Linked DNA regions of Arabidopsis thaliana. The protein of the gene in region 1 interacts with the protein of each later gene in a pairwise test. Each region holds a gene or a part of one and is shown in the gene's direction. Other genes may lie near its edges.

What was found.
Region 2: the proteins of NTL8 (region 1) and NF-YC13 interact in a two-hybrid assay, tested with the Arabidopsis thaliana proteins (one large-scale study listed by BioGRID).
Region 3: the proteins of NTL8 (region 1) and MYB117 interact in a two-hybrid assay, tested with the Arabidopsis thaliana proteins (one large-scale study listed by BioGRID).
Region 4: the proteins of NTL8 (region 1) and JAZ12 interact in a two-hybrid assay, tested with the Arabidopsis thaliana proteins (one large-scale study listed by BioGRID).

The regions. Positions count from the first base shown.
Region 1 is NC_003071.7:11,678,579-11,686,197, reverse strand, and holds NTL8 (NTM1-like 8), read left to right. Parts: upstream 1-4,226; 5' UTR 4,227-4,242; coding exon 4,243-4,423; intron 4,424-4,496; coding exon 4,497-4,750; intron 4,751-4,822; coding exon 4,823-5,020; intron 5,021-5,406; coding exon 5,407-5,781; 3' UTR 5,782-5,922; downstream 5,923-7,619. Other genes in the region: AT2G27310 (F-box family protein), read left to right, coding at 1,231-2,244; AT2G27290 (FAM210B-like protein, putative (DUF1279)), read left to right, coding at 6,433-6,669, 7,156-7,353, 7,442-7,612. UniProt on the Arabidopsis thaliana protein: Transcriptional activator activated by proteolytic cleavage through regulated intramembrane proteolysis (RIP), probably via metalloprotease activity.
Region 2 is NC_003076.8:17,353,351-17,360,172, reverse strand, and holds NF-YC13 (nuclear factor Y, subunit C13), read left to right. Parts: upstream 1-3,466; 5' UTR 3,467-3,606; coding exon 3,607-3,999; 3' UTR 4,000-4,328; downstream 4,329-6,822. Other genes in the region: AT5G43260 (chaperone protein dnaJ-like protein), read left to right, coding at 2,187-2,480; AT5G43240 (hypothetical protein (DUF674)), read left to right, coding at 5,408-6,064, 6,133-6,822.
Region 3 is NC_003070.9:9,266,866-9,274,883, forward strand, and holds MYB117 (myb domain protein 117), read left to right. Parts: upstream 1-4,086; 5' UTR 4,087-4,167; coding exon 4,168-4,564; intron 4,565-4,817; coding exon 4,818-5,252; coding exon of another isoform or gene 5,253-5,263; intron 5,264-5,350; coding exon 5,351-5,598; 3' UTR 5,599-5,848; downstream 5,849-8,018. Other genes in the region: AT1G26790 (Dof-type zinc finger DNA-binding family protein), read right to left, coding at 6,992-7,945. UniProt on the Arabidopsis thaliana protein: Probable transcription factor that involved in boundary specification, meristem initiation and maintenance, and organ patterning.
Region 4 is NC_003076.8:7,086,809-7,094,788, forward strand, and holds JAZ12 (jasmonate-zim-domain protein 12), read left to right. Parts: upstream 1-3,895; 5' UTR 3,896-4,074; coding exon 4,075-4,199; intron 4,200-4,589; coding exon 4,590-4,692; intron 4,693-4,766; coding exon 4,767-4,947; intron 4,948-5,038; coding exon 5,039-5,096; intron 5,097-5,106; exon of another isoform or gene 5,107-5,296; coding exon 5,297-5,393; 3' UTR 5,394-5,731; downstream 5,732-7,980. Other genes in the region: AT5G20890 (TCP-1/cpn60 chaperonin family protein), read right to left, coding at 212-358, 446-761, 861-1,346, 1,600-1,676, 1,902-2,017, 2,189-2,260, 2,359-2,487, 2,589-2,700 and 3 more; AIP2 (RING/U-box superfamily protein), read right to left, coding at 5,855-6,004, 6,086-6,298, 6,573-6,769, 6,858-7,062, 7,335-7,502. UniProt on the Arabidopsis thaliana protein: Repressor of jasmonate responses.

The DNA.
Region 1 (7,619 bases):
TTCAACACACTGAAATTAATACATATGATCAGTATAAATTAGGCTGATTAGCCCAAATTCTGTGTCACTTACTCTACTATAAACTACATCCTTTATTAACTACATTACGTACCAAAAGAGAAAGAAATGTAAGAGAGCCAATAATTAGAACACCGGCTCTGACTAGACCAAAAAAGTATTTCGTCTAAAAGCTTTTTAACCGACCATGAAAACTAAATTGTTTTGTCCCAGTCTTTTGGTTTTGATATCCGGACAACTTCCTCATATACCAAAATACTAAAAGCTTGAAAAGTCAACCAATAATAAAGTAACGTGGAAAATATGAAATTCGTTGCAAAGATAACGTGATCTCTCTACGAAGATAAGTTTATTCTCTTTTTTTTTGTCGGCACCCTATATTTTATTCAAACGGAATTGAAAAAACAGGCACTGGTAGTTATTTTAAATTAATAAATTTGATAAACTAAAATATGGAGTATATAATATATAAATTATAAACAAGATACATCACTGAAAGAAAGAAAAAAAGAGGTTCGTACTTTCCTTGATTTTTTGGAATGTCAGGTTCATCATCCCGATCAAGAAACAATTATACAGATTTAGGCCATACCAAAATTTGATACATGCACGGAGAATTGGAGATATTCAATCCAAGTCCAGATACATGAATACTAGCTAAAAATGTAACAATAGAAAACTACAAAAACAGTATTAAATCGCAGTTAAATATGACATTTTCATCAAGGACATAACTAAAAATATAGAAAATTTCTTCTATATACAATATAATGGATATCTAAATATTATATATTTATTTTAAAACTTTATATAAAACACTGATGTAACATTTCTCGTCGGATCTTTGTTCTCTGATATTTTATCCATTCACAAGAAAAAAAATACTATATTTTATTTTTCTTTATCGACAAAAAGAACCTTTTTAATCTTATGATAAAAATGAAAGACTTCATAAAGAGACGTGATAAAAAAAAGAAGAAAATGGAGCGTGTGTGTACGCGTGTGTATCTACTATGTATAGAAACTTTAGAAAATTAGGAAGAATCATTCAACTTGAAGTAGAATAGTCTCAAAGAGCCATGGTTGACTGATCAACCATCGCCTTCTTCATCCTTTTCTTTATTTTCTACATTAGTCATTTAATTCATTCATTATATATACTTCTCTCTAATTTCTTAATCATCTCTTCTTATAGTTTTTACCCTAAAGAAAATGGCAACCGTCGATGTCATCAACGGTGATTCAATCTCAACTCTTCATTCTGACATAATCCAAACCCAAATCTTGACCCGACTCGATGGTCCGACGCTAGCCTCCACCGCAACAACCTCTTCTTACCTCCAAACTCTATGCACGGAAGAGAAACTCTGGCAAGAACTCTCCATCGACACGTGGCCTTCGATCAATGATCCACGTGTTGTCCAAGCTATCTCCTCTTTCCCTTCCGGTTACCGTTCTTTCTTTGCTGACTCGTACCCGTTCACTGAACACACGTGGCAGTCTGAAAAACATGATCCACCGACGGGATTAATCTCAGCCGTTGATTTATACTACAGAGGAGAGATTATATACTCGAAGGTACAAGAGATGGAAACAGAGAAAGGTAAATCAGGATGGTTCTTGTCATCACCGTTTCGGGTCGATATACTCGACCCGAAAGAGTCGGTCCAAACCCGGATTCGATATCCGGGTGGGGACTACGAAGCGTGGGTGAAAGATATGGAAGAGAGCATGAAACTTAATTGGATACTAATCGATCCGATCAAGAAACGAGCGGCGAATATATCTAGTCGAAAGGCGGTGTCGGCGCGGCGGAACTGGCTAACGGGGGATTTAGAAATACGGTTTTCAACGGTAGTGACGGCGGAGGCGGCGGAAGTGGCGGCGGTTGTGTCATGCGGGTCAGCGGAAGCGTGGAAAGAGGTGGATGAGGAAGTGGGAGGAGAAATACACGTGAGGGACGTGAGGCTACAAGTAGAGGACATAGAAGGAAAATGTATGAAAGGTAGGGATAGTTTGGTAATTTTACAAGGGTTGTTAGATGGAAAGAGATCGTGTAAAGATGATGAAGAGAGAAGAGCTAAAGAAAGGTATGAAGAATACGTGCGAATGAAGATACAATGGAGAGAGAATAAAGAGAGGAGAGAAAAAGCTCAAGACACAATTTGTATGATCTTTGGGTTCTCTATGTTTGTGCTTTTGTGGAGTTTTATTTTGTTAAGGTAAATAACTATAGAAAGGTACAAAAATACTTAAATGATCCAATAATACATACATTTCTTTGTCATCTTTTTTTTTTCGTTCTTTGAATTTGTAATAAAGAAAATTGTTGAGAAATATATACAAGATATTTGGTTAGAGAAGCATGACGTAATACTGATTTTTTTTTGGTGTTTTTTTGTTTGTTTATGATAGATAAGTTTTGAATATATATAGTCGTTAAAATGTCACTTTTGGACGTATTACCTAATCTGAAAACGAAATTGGTTAAAGAAATAAGTTGCGGTCGGAAATTAGTCAGTGAAGGAATTTGGCGGCCAAAGAAGATTTTTTGGTAGTTATGGAAATATTTTTAATAATTTTTTTAGTATAGATTAAAAATTATTGTTTCCGTTTGTTGCGAACGTGTGTGGGCTTAGGGCCCAATTCAGTTTGTTAGATTAGTAGGGGTTCTTTTCCGGCAGATTAGTGGGTTAGGGATTTATAGACTTGATGGTTTGGGTGAAGAAAAAACACAAATCAGTTTTTATGTTAACCAAACGGCAATATCCACAGGCAAACACACAACACATCTCATATTCATTGCCTGGATTGCAACTATGAGTATAGGTATGATCAAAATTTTGTAACCGCATTTCGAACCGTAACCAGACTGTTACTAAATCTGGTTAAAAACTGTAACCGATAACTGAAAAACAAATTAGTTACTATTAAAAAAAATACTAACCGTTAATTATTAGTAACTGTATCAAAATCGTTGGATAATCGTTGTAATTGTGTATATGCAAAGACAAAATATAGTTGTAATCGTGTATATGCAAAGACAAATATCGAATGTTTGGATAAAAATTGTCAAAAAGGTAAATAATAGATATGAAAAAATCTAAGCTAGAAAATAATAAGATTTTTTCTCAAACAAATATGTTGGAATGCTACATTGCTTGATATGAAGAAAATTTGGTGTACAATATACTTTTTCATCTTATTAAAAGCAATACAATATTTTGGGTAATTCTTAAGATTTCGCCTTCAATATTAACTATATTGTAATCATCAAATAACAATAACCATATATAATCATAATTGTTGTAACCGTAATCATTTTAATCATAGATAGTGGTTAAAGTTAAGGTTAAAAAATTTTATAACTGTAACTGATGGTTAATAAACCGTACCCGTAATAACCGTAACCATAATCATCTTACGTGAACACTAAAATTTATATCCATCACGTTTAGATTAATCACCCATCTTTCGAAGCAAATAAGTTCCAATATGAGCTTAGAGGACATAAAACTAGTTTAGAGAAAGTTACACGGATACAAATTTGGATATATAGTTTAGTTAGGATATGATTTTATTGATTTTATTATATATTTTAAAAATAACTAAAACGTTAATGATGACGTAAGCTAATAAAGTAATAGATTAGAAATTGCAATAAAAAAATATAATGTATTTAATAAAATAGATTCATCGACAAAAAAATAATAAAATAGATTCATATAAAACTTGTATTACACAAAAGAAAATATCTTGGCGCAAGATAATAAAATAATTACAAAGTGATTTAAATTCATTTTGATTGCCGTCAAAAACAAAAATTCATTTTGATAAGTTATTACACCCAAAAAAACAAAAACAAAAACTTATTGGCATGCGGGGTACAAACACCGAGGAAGATATCGAAACACGTGTTTAAAAATGAAGAGACGATTTATTAAGCATCAATGAGAGAACTTCAGAGCTGGGTTTGAGTTCTGTCCAATAATACATAACCACGTTATCATTTTTGTCCTTTACTATCTCATTACACTCTTCTGTTATTCGCCCAATTCTTACAGTCATTGTCCACGTCATCCTTTTTCCCTCTGAAGCCGCCAAATATCAAAAAACACAAAACCTTTACCCGAAGCAAAGTAGCTGCACACTTGCCATTTATAAGGCATGTTTCTTCATCTAAAGCAAAGTATTTTCGAGTTCCTGAGCCAAAAAGATCAAACAATGTCTAAAGAAGCTGAGATGTCGATCGCGGTGTCGGCTTTGTTCCCTGGTTTTAGATTCTCTCCTACTGATGTTGAACTTATCTCGTACTATCTTCGTCGTAAAATCGATGGTGATGAGAACTCTGTTGCTGTGATTGCTGAGGTCGAGATTTACAAGTTCGAGCCGTGGGACTTGCCAGGTTTTACTTCGGTTTTCTTTCTCTTTATGTTTACTTTGGTTCACTAATTTGAATGTTTGTGCCTATAAAACAGAGGAATCGAAACTGAAATCGGAGAACGAGTGGTTTTACTTCTGCGCGAGGGGGAGGAAGTACCCGCACGGGTCACAAAGCCGGCGAGCCACACAGCTAGGATATTGGAAAGCGACCGGTAAAGAGCGGAGTGTTAAATCCGGGAACCAAGTTGTTGGAACCAAGAGAACGCTTGTATTTCATATCGGTCGGGCTCCTCGTGGCGAGAGAACGGAGTGGATTATGCATGAATACTGCATCCATGGAGCCCCACAGGTTCTTAAAACTTTCATTTTGAATAGGTTGAGTTTTAATGTTTTGAGATATATTGAAATTTGGATTTCACAGGATGCATTAGTGGTGTGCCGGTTAAGAAAAAATGCTGATTTTCGGGCTAGTTCGACCCAAAAAATGGAGGATGGTGTTGTGCAAGACGATGGCTACGTTGGCCAAAGAGGTGGTTTGGAGAAGGAGGACAAATCCTACTATGAATCTGAGCATCAGATACCAAATGGTGACATCGCAGAATCATCAAATGTTGTTGAGGTCAGCTTGCTTTTGAGGAATGTGTCTTTTAACGATGTTTAATACTGGTAAAATTATCCGCTCCAATCTTAATCGAAACCACATTAAATTCAATATAGTTCCGAAAACAGAACCGATTAAGAAACTAAAACCAAACCAACACCATAGTACCATACTATAACGGATTCATAGTACATTAGATTTCACTAAAGTTGTTATTTTACTAAAGCAGATTCTAAACTTAAAACGTAACAAACCAATATATCCAATGTTTGGTTTTTATTTTGGCTACTAATATTATAACTCAATAGACTAAACCAACACTTGGGCTGAACATCCTTAGTTTTCTTGTACTGGTAGAGTTTAGAGTTTGTAACTGAAGTTGATCTCTTTCTATTGCGATGCAGGATCAGGCCGATACCGATGATGATTGTTACGCCGAGATTCTGAACGATGATATAATAAAGCTCGACGAAGAAGCGTTGAAAGCTAGCCAAGCGTTTCGACCAACTAATCCAACTCATCAAGAAACAATATCAAGCGAGTCATCGAGTAAGAGGTCAAAATGTGGTATAAAAAAAGAATCAACGGAAACAATGAATTGTTACGCTTTGTTCAGGATCAAGAACGTTGCCGGAACCGACTCCAGCTGGAGATTCCCGAACCCGTTCAAAATCAAGAAAGATGATAGCCAGAGATTGATGAAGAATGTTCTGGCCACTACTGTTTTCTTGGCTATCTTATTTTCTTTCTTTTGGACTGTATTAATAGCTAGGAACTAAAGCTAGTTACGACATACATATTATTTATACATAAATAAATATAGTATTTGGTCTATGGCAATATGGCATGTTGAGCTAGTCTTAACAATTATTCAAACTTGTGTACAAACCAAAATTTTTATGGAAAAGAGAATATTTTCGGATAGTAAACCTTTATAATCTGGGTGAAAGCTTTGGGAAAGAGATGATAGTTCCGTGAAAATAGAGACAACAAATTTCACATATAGTAAATGTGAATAATACCACCATTTCCTTAAGTTTTGCTGTTTGTTGTATTAGAGATTGCAAAGTGATATTCTTAGTTATATACAATTGTAATAAATTATACAAAATCCATAAGTAAAATAAATTATTTTAGACTATGTTTAGATATACAAAAGTTTCAGTTCAAAATATAAACGCCTGAGAATCAAACAAATGTTGTTTGTAGTTTTTTATATTTATAAAATAGTCTAAAAATATTTTTCTTACTTATGGATTTTTTATACTATATTAAAGTTTTATATATGTAAAAGATTACTCTGGAACCTCTAATACAACAAATGGTATACCTTCAGAAAAAAATAAAAAATAATTGTGTGTCATACAATAAATAAAAATAATAAGGTGAAAAGATTTGCTTTCTGTTTTTTTTGGTGGCTGAAAAAAACAATGGCGATGATGCTTCTGCAAATTCCTCCTTCGTCTTCCTTGTTGAACACCAGAAACCTTCAAATCCGATTCTTCCACTCTTCAGTTTCAGCTTCCTCGAAGAAATTCAGATGCAGAGCCGTCCGTGAGAAGGCGGAGGACATTGATAAGAACATTTCGCCGCCGTCTTCTTCTCCTCCTCCTCCTTCCGCCGAAGAAGTTACCAAGAAATATGGCCTTGAAGTTGGTCTATGGAAGGTAAAATCAATTCGATTGCGCAATTTCTCGTTTTAATTCGTAATCTAAAATTGATGATTCTATCGCTATGGAAGCTTTAAGTGTAAGTAAAATAGTGTTTTTGGATGAACATGTGAGGACATATGATTGTTTCTGAGCTGAATGATAGGCTAATTCAGAGCAATTTTGGTATTAGTAGAAGCTATTGAAGCTTTAAGTGTAACTAAAATGGTGTTTTGTATGATTATGTGAGCAATTTTGTAGTTGTTGAAGCTATGGAAGCTTCTAAGGGTACTAAAATGGTGTTTAGATGATTATGTGAGTAGATATGATCGTTTTCGTGGTAGTTGTAGAAGTTATGTAAGCTTTTAACTATGCTAAAATGGTGTTTTTTTTTATCAACAAGTGAGCATATGTGATTGGTTAGTTTGGAGCATTTTTGGAAGTTGTAGAATCTATGGAAGTTTTTGTGTAGTAAAATGGTGTTTTGGATGGACTTGTGATTAGATATTAAGCTCTAAGGATGATGAAGGAAGTGATGGAGACAATAAGAAGAAGAAATCAAAAACAGATGAGGCTAAAGAGTTACTTGCAAAGTATGGTGGTGCTTATCTCGCTACATCTATTACTCTTTCTCTCATTTCCTTCTCACTCTGCTATGTCCTTGTGACTTCCGGTGTTGATGTTCAAGCTCTTCTTCTAAAGGTTACTACTTTCACTTCTTGATCATACTAAGTTTATGTTTTCTTGATCTTGGGTTGAGTAAAGCTGATTTTGATGTTTTGTGTTTAAGGTTGGGATTTCGACGAATGAGACAGGAGAGAAAGTAGGAGCCTTTGCTTTGGCTTACGCAGCGCATAAAGCTGCATCTCCGATAAGGTTTCCGCCTACAGTGGCTTTGACTCCTATTGTAGCCAATTGGATTGGGAAGAAAGTGGACAAGGAGAAGGATGATGACAAGTAGCTTACTT
Region 2 (6,822 bases), on another chromosome or scaffold:
GCAAATAAAACAAACTAAATTAAGCTACAGATGTCAAATGCAATTATTCAAGATGTTAAAGACTCAACCGAATCATATATATGAAAGTTGGCCAACTCTCTCCTACAACTTGACACATCAGCACATGAGAGCTTCCCACCTAAACTTCATAAAATAAATAATACATAAATAGTAATTAATTCAACATAATAACTAAAATAGGAGGATATAATTAATCAGAACTTGAACCATCACTCTTTCTACATTTTTTAATTCAATATATCCTTTTTAATTTTGAGATCCAAACATGTTACACATATTCCTTGCCTAAAAATTACACGATTATTATGAAAGAAACTAAATGAATATGCAGATTAAATATATCTAAGCTTTTCAAGATTTATGCTAAGAAAACAAGTAATTTGAAAGATGTTTGAGGAGTTATCCTTAAAACTAATACGTAAGATAGAAGATTATGACAAGAACTTAACTAAACTTTCCAAGAACATCAAGTTGAATATGATTAGATTGGTTATGCAGAGACATGGTTAATAAAAACATGTTATATTTTAAATGTAAGAAAGAAATTTTCTAAAATTTCACCGTTTCACAAACTAAATATATAACCAAAAGAACAAGGATATATAAATTAAAAAAAAAAACTGAGAATCTAGAACAACAATAAAAAATAACTCAAGCATTTTCGTTTTCAGATGAACTAATATAGTTGGACTTTTTGAAAACAATTACAAATCATATTTATGTTTCAAAACCGATGCATTTAACTTTACTTTATATGAACAGACATTATATAAAACAATTTGTAAATAGTAATACATAAACCCGCACGTAGTGCGGGTACTCATCTAGTATACAATAATAAAAACTTCAAAATGATGCAACAATAGCTCAGAATCTTCATATATGGGCCACTCGGCCCACGCCGAATTTGAAAAGCCCGATATTGGAAGTAAGCACGTGCGGTTGTGAGAATTGCTTCTTCGTCCACCATTGGACATGTTTATGGCTGCGTTCGACGCGTGATTTGTTTGTGGAGAAGAGTGCATCGCCTGATAATTCAAGCAACCTAGTTATAGTACAAACGTGAAAGAAACAAAATTAACCCAAAAAATGAAATGGAAGGTTACAATTGCAACCCTTGCAAGATAGTACAACAATATAATAGTAACAATAGAACAATAAACCCTAACCAAACAAAGTAAGAATTACATTCCTCTAATTTTAGTGCATGTAAGTTCGGTTATCACTGCAAACTTAATCATTTCCCTATTGACTAATTCGTAACATAGTTTATACTTTCGATTAATCAATTAATTAATTTACAGTGAATTTGTGAAAAACTTCTAACGAGAAACTTATTATGTTATAAAAGTCAACAAAAGAACTGTATCACACAGAACATATATATTGGGTCTGATTGGTAACCAAAAACTATACAAGTTATTTAGCTGTTAGCTTTATCGGAATAGTGTAAAACTGTTAAAATGAGCTGTACAAAAAAACTGAGAGTAAATTTTTTTGTAACGCTTTTGATAAAGTTTTTGTGATTAGTAACTGTCAAAATTGTATTGTTATTAAAATGGTTACCATTCAAATCTATTAGGTAAAATACAGAGCCGTCCATAAGTACAAGCGGGTCAAACACAAGCTTGTGGCCTCAATTACTATAAATAAAATTTTGATTTTTTTTAGTAGAAAAATTAGTTGCTTGCTTCTTTGATGACAAAAAAAAAAAAGCAAGCAGTCAGATAAATCAATGATAATCTAAAAAAAAGAAAAATCTGACGAAAAAAAAAAAGAAAAAAAAGAAAAATCTGAAGGTTGTACACTTGTAGAAGATATTTTACACACACAGCCCAATAAAAACCCAAATCCAAAAACTGGAGTATCCAAAAAAAACACGGCTGTTTCATTCATCTCCTCACACAACAACTTAACCCTCACTAGCCCACGTGTTTACTTTCTCAACCATTCCCTTATCTCCCAAAATTGTATTTACTTCAAAAATAAACCGAACCGTATCAAATTAAAACAAGACCACACTTTTGTCTGAACACAAAAAAAAAAAAAACTTTTATTTTTTCCTCGAGACGTCTCTCTTCTTCAATTTCTTCACGATTCTACTTTTGCGTTATCCCCAAAATTGGCAACCAAAACCAAACCTCTCTCTCTTATTGAAACCAACAATGAGTCCGATCGTCATAACCCAGTTAGCTACAGGAATCAGCGTTTTAGCCGGTGCGGTCTTTATCAAATCAGTCATGGACCAAAAGCCTATGGCTGGTCAATTCCCTCGTTGTCCGACTTGTAACGGTACTGGACGAGTCACGTGTTTCTGTTCTCGATGGTCCGATGGTGACGTTGGATGTCGTAGGTGTTCTGGTTCAGGTCGTGCGGCTTGTAGCAATTGTGGTGGTTCTGGAACTGGTAGACCTTTACCGGCTCAGATTACGGTTCAGCCACCGAATCGTCCTTATTGATGATTCTCAAGAAATTTGTATACTTTGTAAACGATTCTTCTCTCTTGAACTCTCTCACTCTCTGTCTTGTAAGTTGATTATATATATATACACATAGATGAGAAACAGATTTGATAGCTTCTGTGATATTTTTTCTTGTGTTGGGTTGTTTTGTTACTGTTCATAGTCAAAATATTCGAATTTGTCATTATTGGTGGCTCAAATCTTTAGTATTAACTATTAAGAATTAAGATGATGGGTTTGATCCAATGATACGAAAAGTTAGCTTCTTCTTGTATATTGTTGTAAATGGACTTTGTTGGATGTGTTTGGTTCATGTCTAGTACTCAATATGTGACCATGAGATGTTTCAACAGCCTCTTGTTCCAATGGTATGAAATTGGTTCATGTCTACAACCTCAAAACGTTGTAGAGGAAGGAGTGTTGTGTGTGAATTTTGTGAAAAGCTGCGAATAGTAAAGAGGAAACGGATTAGTTATAACAAATTAAACAGCTACAATTGTAGTAGATGGTCTCTCAAGTCTCAAGATTAGAAACATCTCGGAGCCAAAAAAAGGCTTCCTACAGCCATATAGAAGTATAATCTCAAATCATTATCCACACTTGGAACTATCTCTAAAGCTCATTTGTTATTTGATGGCATTTCTAGTTCGATATGCCACTCCTTAAATCCGTTGCGTTCGTGAAGGATCAATGGGGTTCAATTCAGGTAGCTAGGAGATTTGTACCAACTTGTAGCTTTCTAGAATTCCTTGTACAATGTGATCCAAGTAAAAGAAAGAATCGGTTAAAATTTTCAATATAAAACTTTAAAATAGACTACTAGTACTAGTTTGAGCTAGACAGTGACTCATGTAGAAACAATCTCTACAACATAAAAATCTACGAACCATACCGGGTTACCAAACGTTCTTCTCAATCTCACCAATCGGTTTAAGCTGAAAACCCGAATTAGCAAAATCTTCGTTCGGGCTGTTTTGGTTAATCCGGTTTACATGTTTTCTCATTGCTCATTTTCATTTTCCCGCCGTGACAGAGCGCGTAAATCTCAAAACCCTAAAAATGTCGAACATATACAATTCATTACCTTAATCAGATTTTCTCAACAGAATCAAAATCAAAATCCATGGAGGAAGAAGAAGGATCAATCCGACCAGAGTTTCCAATCGGAAGAGTAAAGAAGATAATGAAACTGGACAAAGACATCAACAAAATCAACTCAGAAGCTCTTCACGTCATCACTTACTCCACCGAACTCTTCCTCCACTTCCTCGCCGAGAAATCTGCTGTTGTTACGGCGGAGAAGAAGCGTAAGACTGTTAATCTCGATCATTTAAGAATCGCCGTGAAAAGACACCAACCTACTAGTGATTTCCTCTTAGACTCGCTTCCGTTGCCGGCTCAGCCTGTCAAACATACCAAATCGGTTTCCGACAAGAAGATTCCGGCGCCGCCAATTGGGACTCGTCGTATCGATGATTTCTTCAGTAAAGGGAAAGCAAAGACTGATTCAGCCTAAAGTAAAATTTCTCATTTTGTTCACAATTGCAAATTTTACTCTGTTCTCAAATCAAAATCTTGTTTTGCTAAAAGTGTAGTGAGAATGTATGGATCATGAGGAACTTTTATAGGAATTGGTAATTTTAAAGATGTTGTGTCTATTAGCATTTCTACTAATTGGAGAAACTGATTCTTGTCCTGTGACTGTGAGATACATCTCATTGTGTTGCTTAGAAATCTCTGCATTGCTCTAACTTTGGTGTGTAGAGATTGAGAGAGAGAGAGAGAGAGGTTTGGGATGTGTATTGTTCTTCTAAGCTATTCTTATATGAATACTACTTTTGAGTGTTTATGTTCTTCTGAAAGAACATGGCTATAGAAGTTGTCGCCGTTACAATAGTATGTTATACTTTCTTTGATTGTGAGCTAATAAGCGCGGTTGTGACCGAGCAAAATGAAAGCTTTTGCGGAATGTATGTTTCAGTTTTCTTTAGTTTTTCATTCTGACAAGTTTTCTAGAGTAGAAGTGAACCAGTCTGATGGGTAAAGTCTGAAACTTTTAACAAGAAAGTGTGATATTTCTCAAGATCACTATCCATGGTTACATTTCTCAATAACTCCTCTCAAACTTCATCTTATATCATCTGCTTTGTAGTGTGGATTTGGTATATGTTCTTTATTTGCTTTTATGGTTTCAGACCAAGTCTAGTGGTATTCAATGATGACTTGAGTGTCCAAAAGCTCTTATTATGTTCTCGGAATTGTGAAAGAAAAAAGTGATTATGTTGACATATCAAATTGATTGAATCCAATGGAACATCCACTTTCTTTAATATTCCGTTTAGTTATTATGAGAACTTGAACCGTTATAATTAAACAACATAAACCAAGCAATTGTGTTCTTTTCGGAACTTGTGGTACATGAACCCGGCGAATTGGATTTACTTCGTTATTTGTTGCCTCTTCCATTCCCGAAACCTTTAATTAAGGCCTTTGACCATGTCTTCTCTAAACTGTTCCACTTCCTCCACTTAAGCTTTATATAAAACCTCAAGTCCTATGAAAAGAACACAATTGCTTGGTTTACTCTAACAAGGTAAAATCTTACGCAGCATATATAGATCATATTGTTGAATATTTATGAAAGTAGTTTTTCCAAGAATTGATGTGTTTGTAGTTTCTTCTGTTTCTAAGCACTAGGAAACCATTTCTTTGATGCCACGTTAGACTATGTTCTTCTGAGGTTTTTGTTCATTGTTAGCCTCGTTACGTATTTTAGCATGTATGATATATGAACAGACTCCGCTCTGTTTAGCTTTTATAAAATTGTTACCTATTTATACAAAATCAATGTAGCTATCGTCTCTAACATGGCTGTGTAAAAAGTGACCTTTTTCATTGTATCAGTGCAGATTTTGTATCAAGACATGTCAGCTACTTTGAAGAATCCGGTGATTAAGTTGAAACTACTCATAGATGAAGAGAAAAACAAAGTTGTATTTGTTGAGGCGGGTAAAGATTTTGTCGATTTACTCTTTAGTTTTTTTACTTTGCCAATGGGAACGATTGTTAGATTGCTGGAGATGTATAAGAAGTCACAGAAAATAGCAATAGGCTGTTTCAGCAATATATATGCAAGTGTTGTGAGTATGGGCATTGAGCATTTCTTGACTGAAGCTTGTAAGCAAATGCTTTTGTATCCGGGCAGTTTGAATCATGAGAAATGTCGAAACCTTAAGCTGAGGGTAGATGATTCCGAGGCTACCAAGTATTTCGTGTGTCCTAAGTTTGTGGAACGTGAGCAATGTACTGAAAGTTACAGCAATTTTAATACCTCGAGATGTAGCTGTGGTGTTTTGATGAATGAAGTGACTCAGCTTGATGGAAGAGGAGGCCTAGCCAGTGCAGGAAATGGTGTTGAAGGTGGAGTATTTGTTAGGAGTGATCATACTTCATTCATGATCACTGATGATTTGAAAGTGGAAATTACCTCTGTTAGGTTGACACTTAATGTTCTTAAAGATCTTGGCTACGTAGATTGTGAAAAGTTGGATGAGAAGATTCATGACGTTAATCTCGAAGAGGTATTATTTTTCTTCAGCTAGACTTTTAAACTTCATGCTCTTATGCTATTTTCTCTTAATTTTTGTAGGTACCGACTTTGCTGGAGTGTTTGTCTACATCGGATAATCCATTGACCGATACATTTCTGAAAAAGAAAAGTTCATATAGTACAAAGAGGATTCAGAAATTGCCGAGTCCTGGCCTCTGTGAAGATAGAGAGGAATCAACACCTGACCAAACGATTACACTAAATGTTGTAAAGAAGGAAGGAAACATTCTGTTTGTTGAATGTGGTGATGACTTTGTTGATCTTCTCTTCACTTTTCTTGCTATACCTCTAGAATCTGCATGGGGAATAGCTGGCGATGGAATCATCATTGGATGCATTGGAAACTTGAGCAAAAGCTTTAAGGACTTAAGTGTTGATCCCGGACGAGAAGCTAAATGTGTTCTTCCTCATTACTACAAGTGTCAGAAGCAGCTACTTGATGCTGTCACCACCCATAAGCCACCGACTTTCTACTTGTATGTGTCCTCCATGGCTTCGAATCATATTAGAGAGTACCGTTTGTCAGAAGACTCCAGTAAGCCACTTGTTTATTTTTGGGATGAACTCATGCCCATGATTTCGATAGATCCAAAATCTAAAGGTAGTACTAACACTACTGATGAGTCAACAATACCCAGTGGTGGCTTTATGAAGAGAGGGACAAAGTTTATGATAACAGATGATTTGATCATCACACCTTTGAATTCAACCTCAACCATTGGATTGGTA
Region 3 (8,018 bases), on another chromosome or scaffold:
TTAATTTTCTTTGTAAACTTAGAAAAAAATTTCCGTTAAAAACATGTAAGTTTTAAAATATATACATGAAAACACTAAAACATGCCCCAAGAATTGAAACCCCTAATTAGTTGAAGGGACCGGTTAAGTTAAGAATTTTGTTGAACTAACTCCGGTTATAGAAACAAAGAAGTAGTGTGATTGTAACCAAAAATACGAATGAGGTTAAGAAAAGAGGGTAGAATTTAAGACAAACTTTATTGGTGGATGTGAAAATAGATATAGGGGCAAAGGAGGCTATGAGATTAGATGGGTCATTGATTCATTCATCTTTGAAAATTGAGAGAGATAGACTTTACTGTTTGGTTACCTTTCACGTCATCTCTTTTTGGAAACTCCAAAAACAGTATGAGTTTGTGTGTGTCTTCGTGATCTGTTCCCACCATTTATCCTCTCTGTCTCTCCACTTCCTTTCATTACTCTCACTTTCTTTCACTTTCTTGTTCACTTCTGTTTCCTCACTAGTTTCTCCTCTTTTTAATCACCAAATCGGCACCTTGTTGCATTAATTACTACAAAAATATATTTACACTCAAACCAAATCAGACCTAATTGAATCTGAACTGATTATTGGTTAAACACTTTGAATTTTCGCAAAAGCATGTGTAGAACAAAATTAATACTTCTTATTTTCAGTTATTTTATAAAAACATTAGTTATCTTAATAGTTGAAAAATCTCGTTGATAGGACGATTAATTTTTTATTTGATTTGCATAAAGTAATTGATCTTTGTTGTTCACAAAATAACGTGATTGATTAGCATTTGAAATTATTTGATTAATTGACAAGTTAATATTTATAATTAAACTCATGGGTGAAACGAAATGCATATCTATAGCTAATTTATTTATAGCTAGCGTCTTAAAAATCCATTGAATGACATATATATTTTGGTGATGTAATCCTAATATTTATAACATTGTACACGTAACCTTCTAGTTTTATATTAGTCTAAATACTTTACGAACTCAACATAGGCAAAATCCAAACTAGTTCGATTTTGTTTTGTTCTATAGTTTTCTCTTTTCTAAGCAAGTATATTCCCTAAGTGTTCGTGATTGTTCGATAGATTTATTGTGATCGTGCGTGGGTGTAGTACGATAAGGAGAATACACGTGATGGTTGTGCGACATCACACGCCAAAATCGGACCATGGGGACGCATCACAGTTGAAGAGAAAAGACTTCTCCTTTGAATTGAATTGGATCCTATGTTACTCTAAATGTGCACGTGTTCATCATCTCCACCTCTCATTATCATTACCAATCCTTATTCTTGATTTAAAACGGATTTTAATTTTCAAAGAACTCAATGTTTACTTGCATTGACTACTAATTATTGAGGACATCTAAAATATCTAAGAAAAAAAACTCTTGTTAATCAATAAAAAAAGATCCCATATGTAAGTAATTTTATTTCTTTGCTTTTTTATTCTTAGTCTAAGATCACTAATCACATAACATATTACATATAGATGGATGCCACGTCAGAAAAGAGTCTATTTGAAAGCGAACTTTTCTTTCGAGTAAAACACAAACCTGACCAAACGTGTAACAAAATTAAACATTATCGTACAAGGGGACATTGTAACACATGAATAACTAAGGTTGATAAAATTTGTAGACGGACATAAAGAATTCCAAGAAAAGTGAATTAGGTGAAATTTAAATGGGCTATGGGGTCAAAGAATGGTCGAGAAAATAAAAATTAGATTATGTCAGACGAGTAAAATTGAGCTTTGGATTAATTCCAACGTTTTAGTGATTCCTTATTACACATTTGATGTATTTTTGTGACAAACTGACAAAAGTATATATTAATGCTATGTTGAAAAAGGTATGTTCAAGCTTGTAATCAATTTTGGACTGAGTCACGCATGGACCGTAGCTAATATATCCACCGAAACGGATTGACCATGAGATCGCAATCTATTTTATACCTCAGATAATTTTTGTCCCCTCACTATATGAGCTTTACATACATCTGTTTCCAGAGTAATTTAGTTGCTTATTCTGTTAGTCACTCCCTAAAACAAGCTACTACACTCGATCAAGCAGTAACATCAAACTCCTTTAATCTTCCAAGTTAGACTCTCTTCTTACTTTTCAAGGTATGTTTAAATATTTAACATGTTTATAAATAATTCCATGTGTAAATAGAACATATGTTTTTAATAACTTAGTATTTTAGACGAAAGAATCGAAAATCTAGTACTAGTCTACTGGATATAAACAAAGTAACAAGATAGATTCATAGCCCAAAACAAAAGAACAACCAAATCGAAGTCCCACTTTAGCTAGTGGCTCTACTTACAAACAAACATAATTAATAGTGTGTTTCACCATATTTTATTTCATCATTTCATTTTAAACGGTAAAAAAAAACTGATTACAATTTTTATAAATGTTTGTTCTGCAAAATATAAAATTAAATAAAGCTGCATAACTTTCTGTTTCATAAAATTATATAGTTCATATATACTTCTTCACCCAACCTTTTATTTCATATTTCATATATAATATTAATGTGTATTTCAAAGTGATTGACCAATTAAAAAGAAAATATGACGAAGAGAAAGAGAGTTTGTAGTGCGTTCGGTTAAATCTCTGTGCAGAGGATCGTACAGTTCTGAGACCCCTTTTGTATCTGTATTTATCCCATATTTAATGGTTACGTCTGCCAATTGGGATTTCTGGTCAAATACGAAAAGGTCTTAAAAGTTATTTCTTTACATTTTTACTGTTCATTCTCATTACTTATACACACTTCCACACGGCCACATTCCTCATGTATGTGGGATATTTAGGGTTGAGAGTTTTTTTGAATTGGCATTGTAATATCTCGTTATTAAAAACCATGAGACTGCTACAAAGAATAAAACAGTCAAAATTTCAAGATTATTTGATACAACATGACAAGGAGAAAATGAGTATATTGAAGCGATGTTTAATTAAGAAAAAAATTGAATGAAGAAAAAAGATTGTGGTTAATTTTTTAAGATAAGAGAGGGTTTCACAGAAACAAAAATGGTAGTAAAAAGTAAAGGAATGAAAGACAAGTGGAGATTAAGAGAGAAAGAGGTAAATTTTAAGGAACCCAAAATGAAATGAAAGAAAAAGCTGTCTGAGAATTGGTTGTGCTAAGAAGAGACCCGACTCATTCCCCAATGGTAAACTCTCTTTTTGCCTTCATCCTTTTTTGGTAGTTAGTTCTGCTTCAGCTTTTTTTCTTTCATCTCATTAGCTTTTATTATTTTCACCTTGCACCTATAAAACATGCATTGATTAATAGAGGATAAATTTCACCTAATAACGGTAAGATTCATTTCGGACTCGTCCAAGATATTCTCTACATTCATTGTTTTTTAGGTCGACACTCCCAACATTAATTTATTTTGTCATAATCCATTGGTTTTCATTAAATAAAAGAGGAAATACTATCTTATACATCAAACTAAGATAAACATTAATTATTCATAAAAGTAGGAAATTTGTATAAGGAACCATAGAGAAGCAGCGTAATTAATGTTATCGTTTGATTATGAACCCTAATACGACTATAAAACTATTGCATACTTTTCAATTACTATCAATCTATGGACATGGAAAAAAACTTGGTCTTCAAATCTTAGTTACTTTTAAATTTAATAAATGATTTATCAGAAAAACTCTTTAACTTCTATGAAACTAGGTACACCTGAACAAATGTATAACAGTCCACAGCAAAATCGAATATCGATAATACACATTTGTACTTACTTATTACAGTAGTGTATATGTAATATATATAATAATGTATAAATGCAAAGAACTCTGTCGTTTGAATTAGTCCGTGACGACGGTCCATAACCCTTTTTAACAGTCGTCAGAAAACACGGTCGCGACATGTACATACACGCACATACCTAAAGCCATACGTAACAAACACACCATTATATACAAAAGATATTCTATTATTTTTAAAAAATAATATTTATGACACACATTTACGTACGTGTATATATAATATGCAAATGCACTCACATAAGTCTTTCTCCTCCGATGGTATATGTCTATAAGCTGACGTGACATCTCTCTTAATTCTCAATAACACTTCTCTTCTTCTTCCTTTCTCCCAACACTAACTCCATGTTTATAACGGAAAAACAAGTGTGGATGGATGAGATCGTCGCAAGAAGAGCTTCTTCTTCTTGGGACTTCCCTTTCAACGACATTAATATTCATCAGCATCATCATCGTCACTGCAACACAAGTCATGAGTTTGAAATCTTGAAGAGTCCTCTTGGAGATGTAGCGGTTCACGAAGAAGAGAGTAATAATAATAACCCTAATTTCAGTAACAGCGAGAGTGGTAAGAAGGAGACAACAGATAGTGGTCAGTCTTGGTCCTCGTCGTCTTCAAAACCATCGGTCTTGGGGAGAGGACATTGGAGACCAGCTGAAGATGTTAAACTCAAAGAGCTTGTCTCCATTTACGGCCCACAAAACTGGAACCTCATAGCTGAAAAGCTTCAAGGAAGATCTGGTAAGTTAAATCAAAACCTTATTTATTTTCTATTTCTTTTGACAGCAAGTTAAATCAAAACCTTATAGATCTTCAAAATTTCATCAAAACCAGTTTGTTTGATTCATCTGGATCTGTCAAGTTCTTAAGATCCGGTGATAAAATCAATTTTTGTTTTTATTAGTTTTCTTGGTCTTTAGCCTTCTATGTCCAATCTAAGTCCTAACGTAATTTTTTTTGAGTTTTATTAACTTAATCTTGATTGTTTTTAAAGGGAAGAGCTGTAGACTACGATGGTTTAACCAATTGGACCCGAGGATAAACCGAAGAGCTTTCACAGAAGAAGAAGAGGAGAGGCTGATGCAAGCACATAGGCTTTATGGTAACAAATGGGCAATGATTGCGAGGCTTTTCCCTGGTAGAACTGATAATTCAGTGAAGAACCATTGGCATGTTGTCATGGCTCGTAAGTATAGAGAACACTCTTCTGCTTACCGTAGGAGAAAGCTTATGAGTAATAATCCACTTAAACCTCACCTCACCAATAATCATCATCCTAACCCTAACCCTAATTACCACTCTTTTATCTCCACTAATCATTACTTCGCTCAGCCTTTCCCCGAGTTTAATTTGACTCATCACCTGGTTAATAATGCCCCTATCACGAGTGACCATAACCAGCTTGTGTTGCCTTTCCATTGCTTTCAAGGTAGCCTATAGCTCTTCCTCCTCTTTCAATAGTTTTTTCAATTGTCTTTTGCATATTTTGAACTCTTTTTTGGTTTTTGTTATATCTACAACGTTCAGGTTATGAGAACAATGAACCTCCGATGGTTGTGAGTATGTTTGGCAACCAAATGATGGTCGGCGATAACGTTGGTGCCACGTCAGACGCGTTATGCAATATTCCGCACATTGACCCTAGTAACCAAGAGAAACCGGAGCCAAATGATGCAATGCATTGGATCGGAATGGACGCGGTAGATGAGGAGGTGTTCGAAAAGGCTAAGCAGCAACCACATTTTTTCGATTTTCTTGGCTTGGGGACGGCGTGAATGTTGAACAAATTGGTGTTAATCAGATAACGACAGTGGTTAAATTTGGTTACAAAAAAAATAGCATTTAGCTTTAGTAGCTAGAAAACAAACAAACCAGATCCTAGCCTTTGTCCTTGCGTTTACGTTAATTACTAAACTGTAGATTGTTGTTGTTGGCACTTGGTTGTCTAGTGTAACATTTGATAAGTCATTGTTTTTAGTAGTACTCGTTCAGAAATATTTAACAAAGAGAGATTGGTTTTAAAAAGTTGATTCTTTTATGATGAAGTGACGTGAAATATTGCTAAAGACGTGTTGAGAATAACAACGAGAGAGAGAGAGAGAGAAGGGAAATTAAAAAGAGTGGAGTTTCTAGGAGTTGGAGAAAGAGACGAAGATGCGTAATTAAGAGAAGAGGAACTGCCAAAATTGAGGCAGAGATTGTGCAACAGAAAGGCCAAACATGAAACATGCTCACCAAATCTCACACACACATTGCATTTGTTTCTTCTCTTCAAACCGTTTTTCCAACTCTTCAAGCTTCTTACCTATGTATCTCTCTCATGTCACGCGGACCCACACATGCCCTTCTTTCTTGTAATTCTTTCCATGTTGTAGATATAAAAGAAAAATTTAAATTGAATTGTTCTTTTGTATAGTTTTGGTTGGGTTAAAAAAAAAGGAAAAAAATTAGTTTTGGTTTTGAATATGAGTTTTTAAAATAATATATAACGTGGATAAATGTATGGGTTTTTCGGATTTTGAAAGGTTGTTGTAGAGAAGATTTTTAATTTACCCATTGGGTCTGAAATTGCTTCAATAGGCCCAATCTATTTCGGAGATGTTCTCGAGTCTCTCTTTTTGGGAACAAACATCCGAGTGAAGTCAATATTAAGTGATTTTCGAAAAGATAAAAACTATTCTAAAACTAATTAACATTTTTCCACTCATTTTAGTAATTCTCCCAAAGTAAAGTGCTTAAAGAGAGGGGGAAAAAAGTGCTTAAAGTGTTTTCTTCTTATTGTTTCCCTTTATACGCAAATGAAGAGACTTATTTTATTTTCAAAGAAAGAGACTTTTATGTTTCTCCTTTAGCTTTTAGTTTGTACCAATCAGATGGATTCTGTACCAAGGACTCCAAGTTAAGATTCTCTACTTTTTCTCCTTTACATGAAAATTCACACATATGTTTTTTTTCCAATTAATTTATACACTAGTACTACAAAATACAAATAATGGAGTAAACAATATTTTCGAACCACATTTACCAAAAAAGACATTACACTTCAGCATTTCCATCTGTTTGGATAATCTACAAAATGGGGATTGTGGTATATAAATAAGATAGATATTAAAAGTTAATTCATCACACAAAAAAAGGTATCTACAAAGTTTCTTTTCTCCTTTAACGTTATATGCTCTCTCTGAAGTTCATAGATCTTGCCATGGCTGCAGGGTTTGCTTGCAGGTTAAGATACGTTTCAGGGACGAATCTGTTGTTGCTGCTCTTTGTTTCAGCTCCATTACTGAAAAAGCTGAATTCTTGTGTCTTCTCGCGGGTCATCGGTACTGGATACCACACATGGTTATTTGTAGCCATACTTGTTTCATTTTTGATGCTCTGAGATTCCAAAAGCAAGCTTGTTCTCTCAAAAGCATTTTTACTCTCTTTAACAGTTTCATGAGAAGTTTCGTCTCTTGTCCTTTTCCCAAGACATGTAGAAGTGTCGAGGGTAGACCAAACCGGTATCGCGCAGCCCCAGTAGACGGGCATGTGGTAGAAACTAGGGTTTGGAGGGTATTGGTAAGGCCAAGGAGGCGAAACAGGGGATGCTTGGGGAGGAAGTAACCCTTGGAAGTTGTTGGGTTCTTGTGAAACAGGTTCAGCGTTTATCTTCACTTCGTTTGATTGATGCTTAGGCCTCTCAGTTACCAAAGAGTCCGAAGACTCGAAGCTTAGAATCTTTGTTGAGGAGCTATTGTAATTGTCAGTATCCTCGGAAGTGATGTGCAGGTACTGGTCTGAAGAAACCCATCCCTTGTTCTTGCGACGGCCTGAGCCAACCGGGACGATCCTCATGGATCCACCAGCGGTCCAATACCTCTGGCATTTTCTACAGAAGTGACGTGGCTGGTTAACGTTGTAGTTGTTGTAGTAACAGAATTTGGTGTCTGCGCTGTTGCATCTCGGACATGGAAGAATCTTGTCTGGTTTCTTCAGTTCAGTTGTTTTCTCTTCTTCCGATGTAATTGTTGTGATCTCGCTGTGTTGGTCATCACTGTTCTCAGATGTTTCTTTTGACTCGTTGTTAAGATTAGATGACAGCTTAAGACTTGTATTGTCAGTAACAGATTGGTTATTCATCTGAAAAAAATTGAAGGAACTTGGATTAGGATTAACATCATGAACTAGTTTCAAACTGATACAAGGACTAGAG
Region 4 (7,980 bases), on another chromosome or scaffold:
CAAACAAATTAAAAACTTTGGAGCTAACACTTTTTTCAAACGTCTAAATTCAAACTCAAAACAAGATTAAAAGGAAACAAAACAAAAAGATGAGTTCTAAGGAGGAGCAAAACATTAAACATATTAGAAAAGTTGTATTCTGATCCAAATCGAAAACACAATCATGGAATCTCTAGGCTCCCACCACGTTCATGTGTTTGTGTTGAGTTTTTCACATCCTGTCTTCTCTCCTCCTAGGAGCACATGTAATGATTTCATCCACTCGCAATATCATCTCAGATGCTTCTGTGGCTGAAAGCAGAACCGCTTGCTTCACTTTGAATGCTTCATAGATTCCTCTCTCTTCCATATCTCCTACCTGTAAACAATCAATCATCATCATCACAATTCAAGTCTAGCCTTGCACATTCAATGGCGAATCCTAATGTTTATAAAGTTTACTTACAGCTCCAGTGATGACGTCGATCCCAGCGTTACACCCTTCAGTGTGGTGCTCTGCACGAAGCTGAGCAACCAATTCGGCACTGTCTAAACCAGCGTTGTCAGCGATTGTTGTCGGTATAGCAACTAGAGCACGTGAGAAAGCTTCAATGGCATGAGATTTTTTGCCAGCAGTTTTCCTTGCAAGCTCATCTACTTCCTTTGCCATCACCATCTCTGGCCATCCACCTCCAAGCAAAACTCTAGTATCATTCACTGTTTGAGAGAGTACACATAAGGCATCATGGAGTGATCTTTCAGCCTCATCTAGGACATGGTGACTGCAAGAAAAAAGAACCCATACAAAAATTGATTAGTGAATTAGAAACAGAATAAAGTTTAGACGAAGTCTTTCAAGTAATGGGAGTGAAAATGGATACCTGGCCCCTCTTAGGACAATTGAACAAGCCTGGCCCATTTCACAACCAGAGAAATGAATCAACTTGTCTTCACCAATCATGATTTCTTCTATAAGCTTGCAATGCCCAAGCTTAACAGACTCTGGGTTGTCAAAGGTCGAAGCAATTTCACCACCAGTAACCAAACCAAGACGCTCTATTCCCTCAAAGTCAGCATGCTCAATAGCAAGTATACCAGCATCAGCAAAGAGTTCCTCAGGGAAATTGTAGATCAACTGCCTGTTAACAAAGCAGTTGATTCCGTGGCCTATGATCTTCTTCACCTTGTCTTTCATTTTTTCCTTCTCAGCCCCTTCAATCTCAGCAACCTTGGTCATGGAATCCACACGGACACGTGCACCGTAAATCTTCACTTTATCGGTATCCATAGCAGTATTAGCTACTAAGATATTTGCATTCTCTATGCGCTTAGGCTGCCCAATTCCTATTTTCTTGTCAAGAATAAACCTACAGGCATAGATTTTAAGTTGAGGTGACATGAGACCATATTACTCGATAGAAGAAGAAACACAACACAACAAGATGACATGATGACTATCAACATTCCAAAATAACACTATAAATGAAATTAAGGTGCGTAAGCTATGAAGAAGAAAAGAAACACGACAGAGTTACCATGAACAGATGAATACTAAAGAAAGATCAATAGCTCAGAAAACTGAATTTGAACTGACGCCAAAGGCACAAAGTGTTGTCTTACCCTTCATCCAAAAACGAATCCTTCAGAGACCCTCCAGGTTTTTTGATGATCTGAATAGCTTCCAAGTTTGTGCTTCCCTGTTGAACGATAAAAGCAGAATGTCAGAAAAAAATCATATAACAATCCAAAACGAAACGATGCAACTATGGGAAAGACTAATGGTGAAATGATAATAGCCTAATTTCATGACATTTCGTCAAAGGAAGATCTTCTTTCATGAGATAACACATAAATCAAGAGAAAAAGAAGGAAGGAACACATGACATTGCTGAATCAGTTTCAAAAGGAGGAAGAAATGGAACCTTTAGCCTGAAAACAGCATCCACGGCCATTTCTGCAAAATGTTCCTTGTCCTGTGAGAGAATTTTGGAACATAAAGTAGTCATCGCAATCTTCAACAAGTCTGACCTAAACTTCTCTGCATTGACAAAAATACAATGCTGTAAAATAACAGTGTGATTTCCGTTCTGTATTCAACTGAAAGGAAATCACCGCTTGAACCCAACAGTCGAAGTAATCACACAAACAAGAAAATGCTATACTTAAATATGTCAGCATAACAAGGTTTAACCATCTCTATAATGATTACCTGCATTGTCCTTGTTATCAATGACTCTTTTCAGTAAAGCATTACGAGCACATTCCGAAGCCATTCTGTAACCTAAGAAACCAGAAAACGAAAAAATTAGAAATCATTGCCATAGTGAGAGAAGCTGATACAAAGTTGACATCTTAACACTTAAAGCTCCAAAAGTGTACCTGCTATGATGGTCATAGGGTGAATCTTAGAAGCCACAAGCTTTTCTGCTTCCCTCAGAAGCTCGCCGGCCAAGACAACAACAGAGGTAGTTCCATCACCAACCTCATCATCTTGAACTTTCGAGATGTCTGAAGAACAAACCAGATACAACGAACTGTGAGAGAAAACCCAACTAAGAAAAAACGAATGTGAAAACTTCATGCCAGAATGTCGCAGGGAAATTACATACCAACAAGAACTTTAGCTGCAGGGTTGTCTATGTGAAGTGACTTGAGAATAGTAGCACCATCGTTAGTAACAGTGACCGCATGACCTCTACCAGTAGATTGCAAGATTTTATCCTAAACAATAATAAAAAGGATTCAACAATAATCAATAGAACCAAATTGAAAGTTTGTAGCTTTCTAAATATTCAGAGATCGGAAATTACCATGCCCTTTGGCCCTAAAGTAGACTTAACCAGATCACTGATAGCCATTGCACCAACAAATGATGCCTAAAAGAGCAACAACAAAAGAAAAGAAAATCAGATTTAAACAGTAGAAGAGTGAATCTGAAAAACCCTAAATCCTAATCGATTCAAAAGACTCACCATCCTCGCACGTTCTCCCTTCTCTTCACTAGCATCATCTTTGAAGATCTTATCGATCTAAATACGAAATAGCTAAGTTCAGTTAACGGAGAGCACTGGGGAAAAGCAAAAGGATTGAAAGAGACGACGGAGGAACATTACCGGCATCGGGAAGAGCGGAAAAAGAAGAAGGAGGCTTCTTCAGTATCGGAGATATCCAAGTTAGTCGAATCTGAGACTAGCGAGAAACAATAGATGGGATCGTTCACGAAGAACGAACAAGCCGAGAGGATCTCGAAATATTGAGTGTGCTTTTGAAGAAGAGTAGAAAATGAGAGGAGAGAGCCAAAACCCAGATCTTTCGGAACCCTAAATGAAACTCGTAAAGACCAAACTACCCTCGTATTTCCCAGATTTCTTATGCGCCCTTCAGTAAAAACTAAAAAGTTTAGATTAACCCTTAACCAAAAAGTTATAAGTTACATTAAGAAGTAAATTTTATAGTTTCGACAATTTTGCATTTTGTTTGATTATATAGAGGAAAAAAAAAAATGTTCCATATACAAATTTGAATTTGGTGATGATTTAGCGGTCGAATACAAAAACAGAAATAAATTAATTCGTGATTTGTATGCGAATATTGTTACTAAAAAAAACTATAAATGTAAAGAGGCTTATAAAATAGAAAGAGAAACATTATAAATGTAAGCAGTCAAGGTCCATTTTAGAAGTCATTTTAAGACGACTAAGCCCAACAGTACTTTAAGAGCCCAATGAATCAAGGTCCAGCAAACTCAATTAGTTTAACGTCTCAGCCACTTATAAATTATACACGTTTGGAGTTCCGGATAACCGAAATGAGAAAGCATGTCCCACATAGAAGGCCAACGACACCGTATCATATTCGAGCACGTTTCTAATTACCCTCTTGTTGTCTTTTACTGTCGTAGCACCAAAAGTCAAACAATAAAAATCAATATCTATCGCCAGGTGTCAAATTACAGGAGCTTCTGAGAAGGATAAATCTCGGAGGTTCCCGGTCTGAACGACGTAGAGACGAAGCGAAACAAAAGTACTCTAAGGGAGAGAAGTATCAAAATTCTCATCGGAAAAAGACAGATCTACAAATTTTGAGAGACAAGCCATGACTAAGGTGAAAGATGAGCCACGCGCTTCCGTTGAAGGTGGATGTGGTGTTGCCGACGGTGACGGCGGCGCGGCTGAGATCGGCGGTACCGGATCTGTTGAGAAATCGATTAACGAAGTTAGGTATGAGCTGTGTTTACTGTTGATTTCACATGTTTTTATCTGTTTCTCTCTTTGCTTTGAGTTTAGTACTTAAAATTGTATCTTGTTTCTGATAAGGAAGATCAGCATTTCGATCTGGTTACTTTAGTTTCTATTTAGGGAAAGTCATATTTCTCAATGGAACCAATTTGTTTTTTGGCTGGAACAATTGGATTCTTAACAAACTTGTGTTTTTCAAAGTCCTTTAATGCATACATAAGTTTTCATGTGAATTTGATTAATAGAACTTCACCGTTAACATGTGAAATTGGAGAGACTGGATTCATATGTGGAGAGTTTTCTTAATGTTGCATCAATAAGTCCATCTTTATAGTGTCGGTCACAAGTTTAATAGATCTTCTGCTATTGAAGGTCCACGGAGATTCAAACCGCTGAGCCAACGGTTCCTCCAAATCAACTTACTATTTTCTTTGGTGGAAGTGTTACTGTGTTTGATGGACTTCCATCAGAAAAGGTTGGTCCATTAGAGCTTTGTTGTTGTCAGAAAAACTTCAGAATTTCTGTTCTCACTGTGATCTATGCCTATAGGTTCAAGAAATCCTTCGTATTGCTGCTAAAGCAATGGAGACAAAGAATTCTACAAGCATCAGTCCTGTCTCATCGCCAGCACTGAACAGAGCTCCTTCTTTCTCAAGCACATCTAATGTGGCATCACCAGCTGCACAGCCATTTCCTATTCAGCCAATCTCGTTTTGCAGATCCACGGCTGGTAAGTATTCGATTCAACTGGTTATAGTAATCTTCAAACCTTGAAAATGGATACTCTCATTAGTTTCTTACAATTATGTTTGCCGTAACAGATCTACCTATTGCAAGGAGGCATTCGCTTCAACGATTCCTCGAGAAAAGACGGGACAGGTATGCAGCCTTTAAAATTACACTTCATCCTTCTCCATTTCAATGGAAATTCAAATCTGATCTATTTTATTCAGTTTTTGATTGATTACTAATACAGAGCTTGTTAATGTACCTGTGAGAGACTTGTAAAGACAGATTGATCATAATGTTTAACCTTGATATTGCATCTAACAATAACATTCACTTTTTTTTATCTGCAGATTGGTCAACAAAAACCCTTACCCTACTTCAGACTTCAAAAAGACAGATGTCCCAACAGGCAATGTCTCTATCAAGGAGGAATTTCCAACTGCTTAGCAGAAGATCAAACCTCCACATTAAGCTTATAAGCAAACTAAGTAAAACGTTTTGTCAATATAGTAATTAATATGATAATCTATCATGTACGCTGCTGTGTGTAATGTGTTGTATGATAGTGTCTGTATAGGTTTGCTAGACAAACCGAAGATTGTTTCCATGTCTGGGAGTGGTCAGATATGTTTGCCATTTTACAATTCTACTGAAGAAACTATTGTAGTTAGTAACACTGTCCTAGAGTCTATCTAACTAATGACTCTTTGATGTTATGTTATTGAACTTGTCATCTCTTCAAGATACAATTGTGTGTAAAGTAAAGAAGTCTGTGTTGTTATTATAAGCTTTCATACAAAAGACATTGAATCTATATGTAAAATGGGATTTATAATTGTGAATGATGAACAACAATTCGGAGATGTTTCAAGGAAAGACAATGGGAGTGTGCCATAACTGATTGAAATTTAAACGTACATATATTCACCTCCGCGGACAGCATTCTCTGCGCCCTTCCTCTCTTCTTCGGCCTCTTTCTCTCTCTCTTTCCAGTTTTCGTATTTCTGATCGTCTGTTGGTAATTCATGGCGGCATATAGGGCAAGAGTTATGCTCGTCCTGCCATAAAACAATATGAGCATAAGCTTTATGTTCTTACTTACTAGTAAGCTTGAAAGAATGGGATTTTTTTTTTTATACCAGCCAAGGCTTTAGGCAAGGAGGGTGAAATGTGTGCTTGCATGGCAATTCCTGCATCTTGTCGCCAATAACTAGATTCTCCTTGCAGATGCAACATTCTGCCTCTGCTCCAAACTTTTTAAGCAATTCCTCGGTGAAAATAATGACTGGGAGTTTCTCTACAACTTCTTTACTTGCCGGTGGAGCTCTTGGTGGTCCACCATCATCTAGTATCTGCATAGAACACATCATATATCACTTTTCAATCATGAAGCTAAGAAAAAGACGCTACCAATACAATATTAGAGGTTGAGGTTAAACACTCTTGATACAGATGAGTGAGACAACCAAGTGGAGAAACTCAATATGCAAAAAACAACATATGAGTAGAATGCGGATGATTAAGAATTGCTTTCATCTCTATCTTTAGGTGAAGAAACTTGTGATATCAGCTATGTGTGATAGTACATAATCTAAAACTAGTAAGGAAGAAAAGAGAAGGCATTACATCTGGAATGATCATGTCAAGACCATTGATAAGTTCTTGCATCAAGTTAGCAGTTTCCCCAATAGTGTTTTCAGTAGGACCATTAGAGGATTCACCACCAACGATAGAAGCGAAAGCAGACATGAGATTCTGCTGTACTAGCCACTGAGGCTGTGGCGGCTCACGATCAACCGTAAGATGTCCCTCAAAAAGATAACCTGCAAAAAATTCACAAGAGAAATAAAAATCATCTCCAGATAAATTTCACTTAAAACCATCAAAAGCCAAACTAAATGTTTCACAAACCTTGTGAGCTCTCTGTTGGCTGATTATCTACTTCGCTTAACTGCTCCTTAGCTTGAGCAACGCAAGATTTCAAATGTTTCTTCTCAGAAGCATCAGAGACAAGTCGCTCAGCCTCTTCGAAAAGACTCAGTCCAGCAACCCAAAATCCAGTAGCTGTATATCTTGTCTTAAGAACCGTAGCGACACGAGATACAACTATATAGAACTGCAATGGCAATCAAATCAATACTATGTCACAGAGGGTAACTAAACAAAAACAGATCGGATTAAATGAAATTTTTGACATGAACATGAACTTTCTCCACAATTGAAATAGAAAAACAATAAAAGAAAGATATTTGATTCCTGATTCAATCCTCAAAAGTTAAACCCATCATCAGACATAAGCAATGAGTAAACGTCAAGGCAGGCATAAACCCTAACAATTCCGAATAATTTTGAATCTATTGATCCGAAAATCTAAGAATAAAAACCAACCTGTTTGCGGAGAGAAGGAGAGGAAGAAGAGTAGTGATCACGGAGAAGATTATGAATAGAACAAACGGATGCTTCGAATCTCAGCTTTTTGTTCAGCTGTTTCTGAAGATCATCAAGCTCAAGCTTCAAGCTTTCCTCGGAAGGAGACGGTGAAGACGATGCATCCATTCAGAAATTTATTTCTTAGAGTTAAGGAGAATACTCAGGGGTTTCGAATGATTTTGGGGATTTTGTAAGAATGATGCAAAAGAAGAACCAATCTCTTGTCTTCTGGGATTTTTGTAGGAGACGAGTTTTCTTGATCAGGAGGAAAGGACGAAGTCGGTCGGTTAATATAGTTCAGTTCGGTTTGGTTCGGTTCAAGACCAAAAGAACAATTGTTAATTACCAATTGTTCGGTTTGGTTTGAGACCAATTTTTTGTTGGTAAATACTAAATCGTATGCGGCTATATTAGACCAAACCGTATACATTATTTGTTTTTTGTAGTATGATTGTAACTGTAGATAAACATAGTGTATATTGGACTTTCTGAGCCTTCCACGCTTTAATTTGAGATGTTGAACGCAATGCCTGTGGACGTTAATATCATTAGTCTATTAATTTTGAACTAAGAATAATCTTAACACAAAAAAGAAGTCCATGGA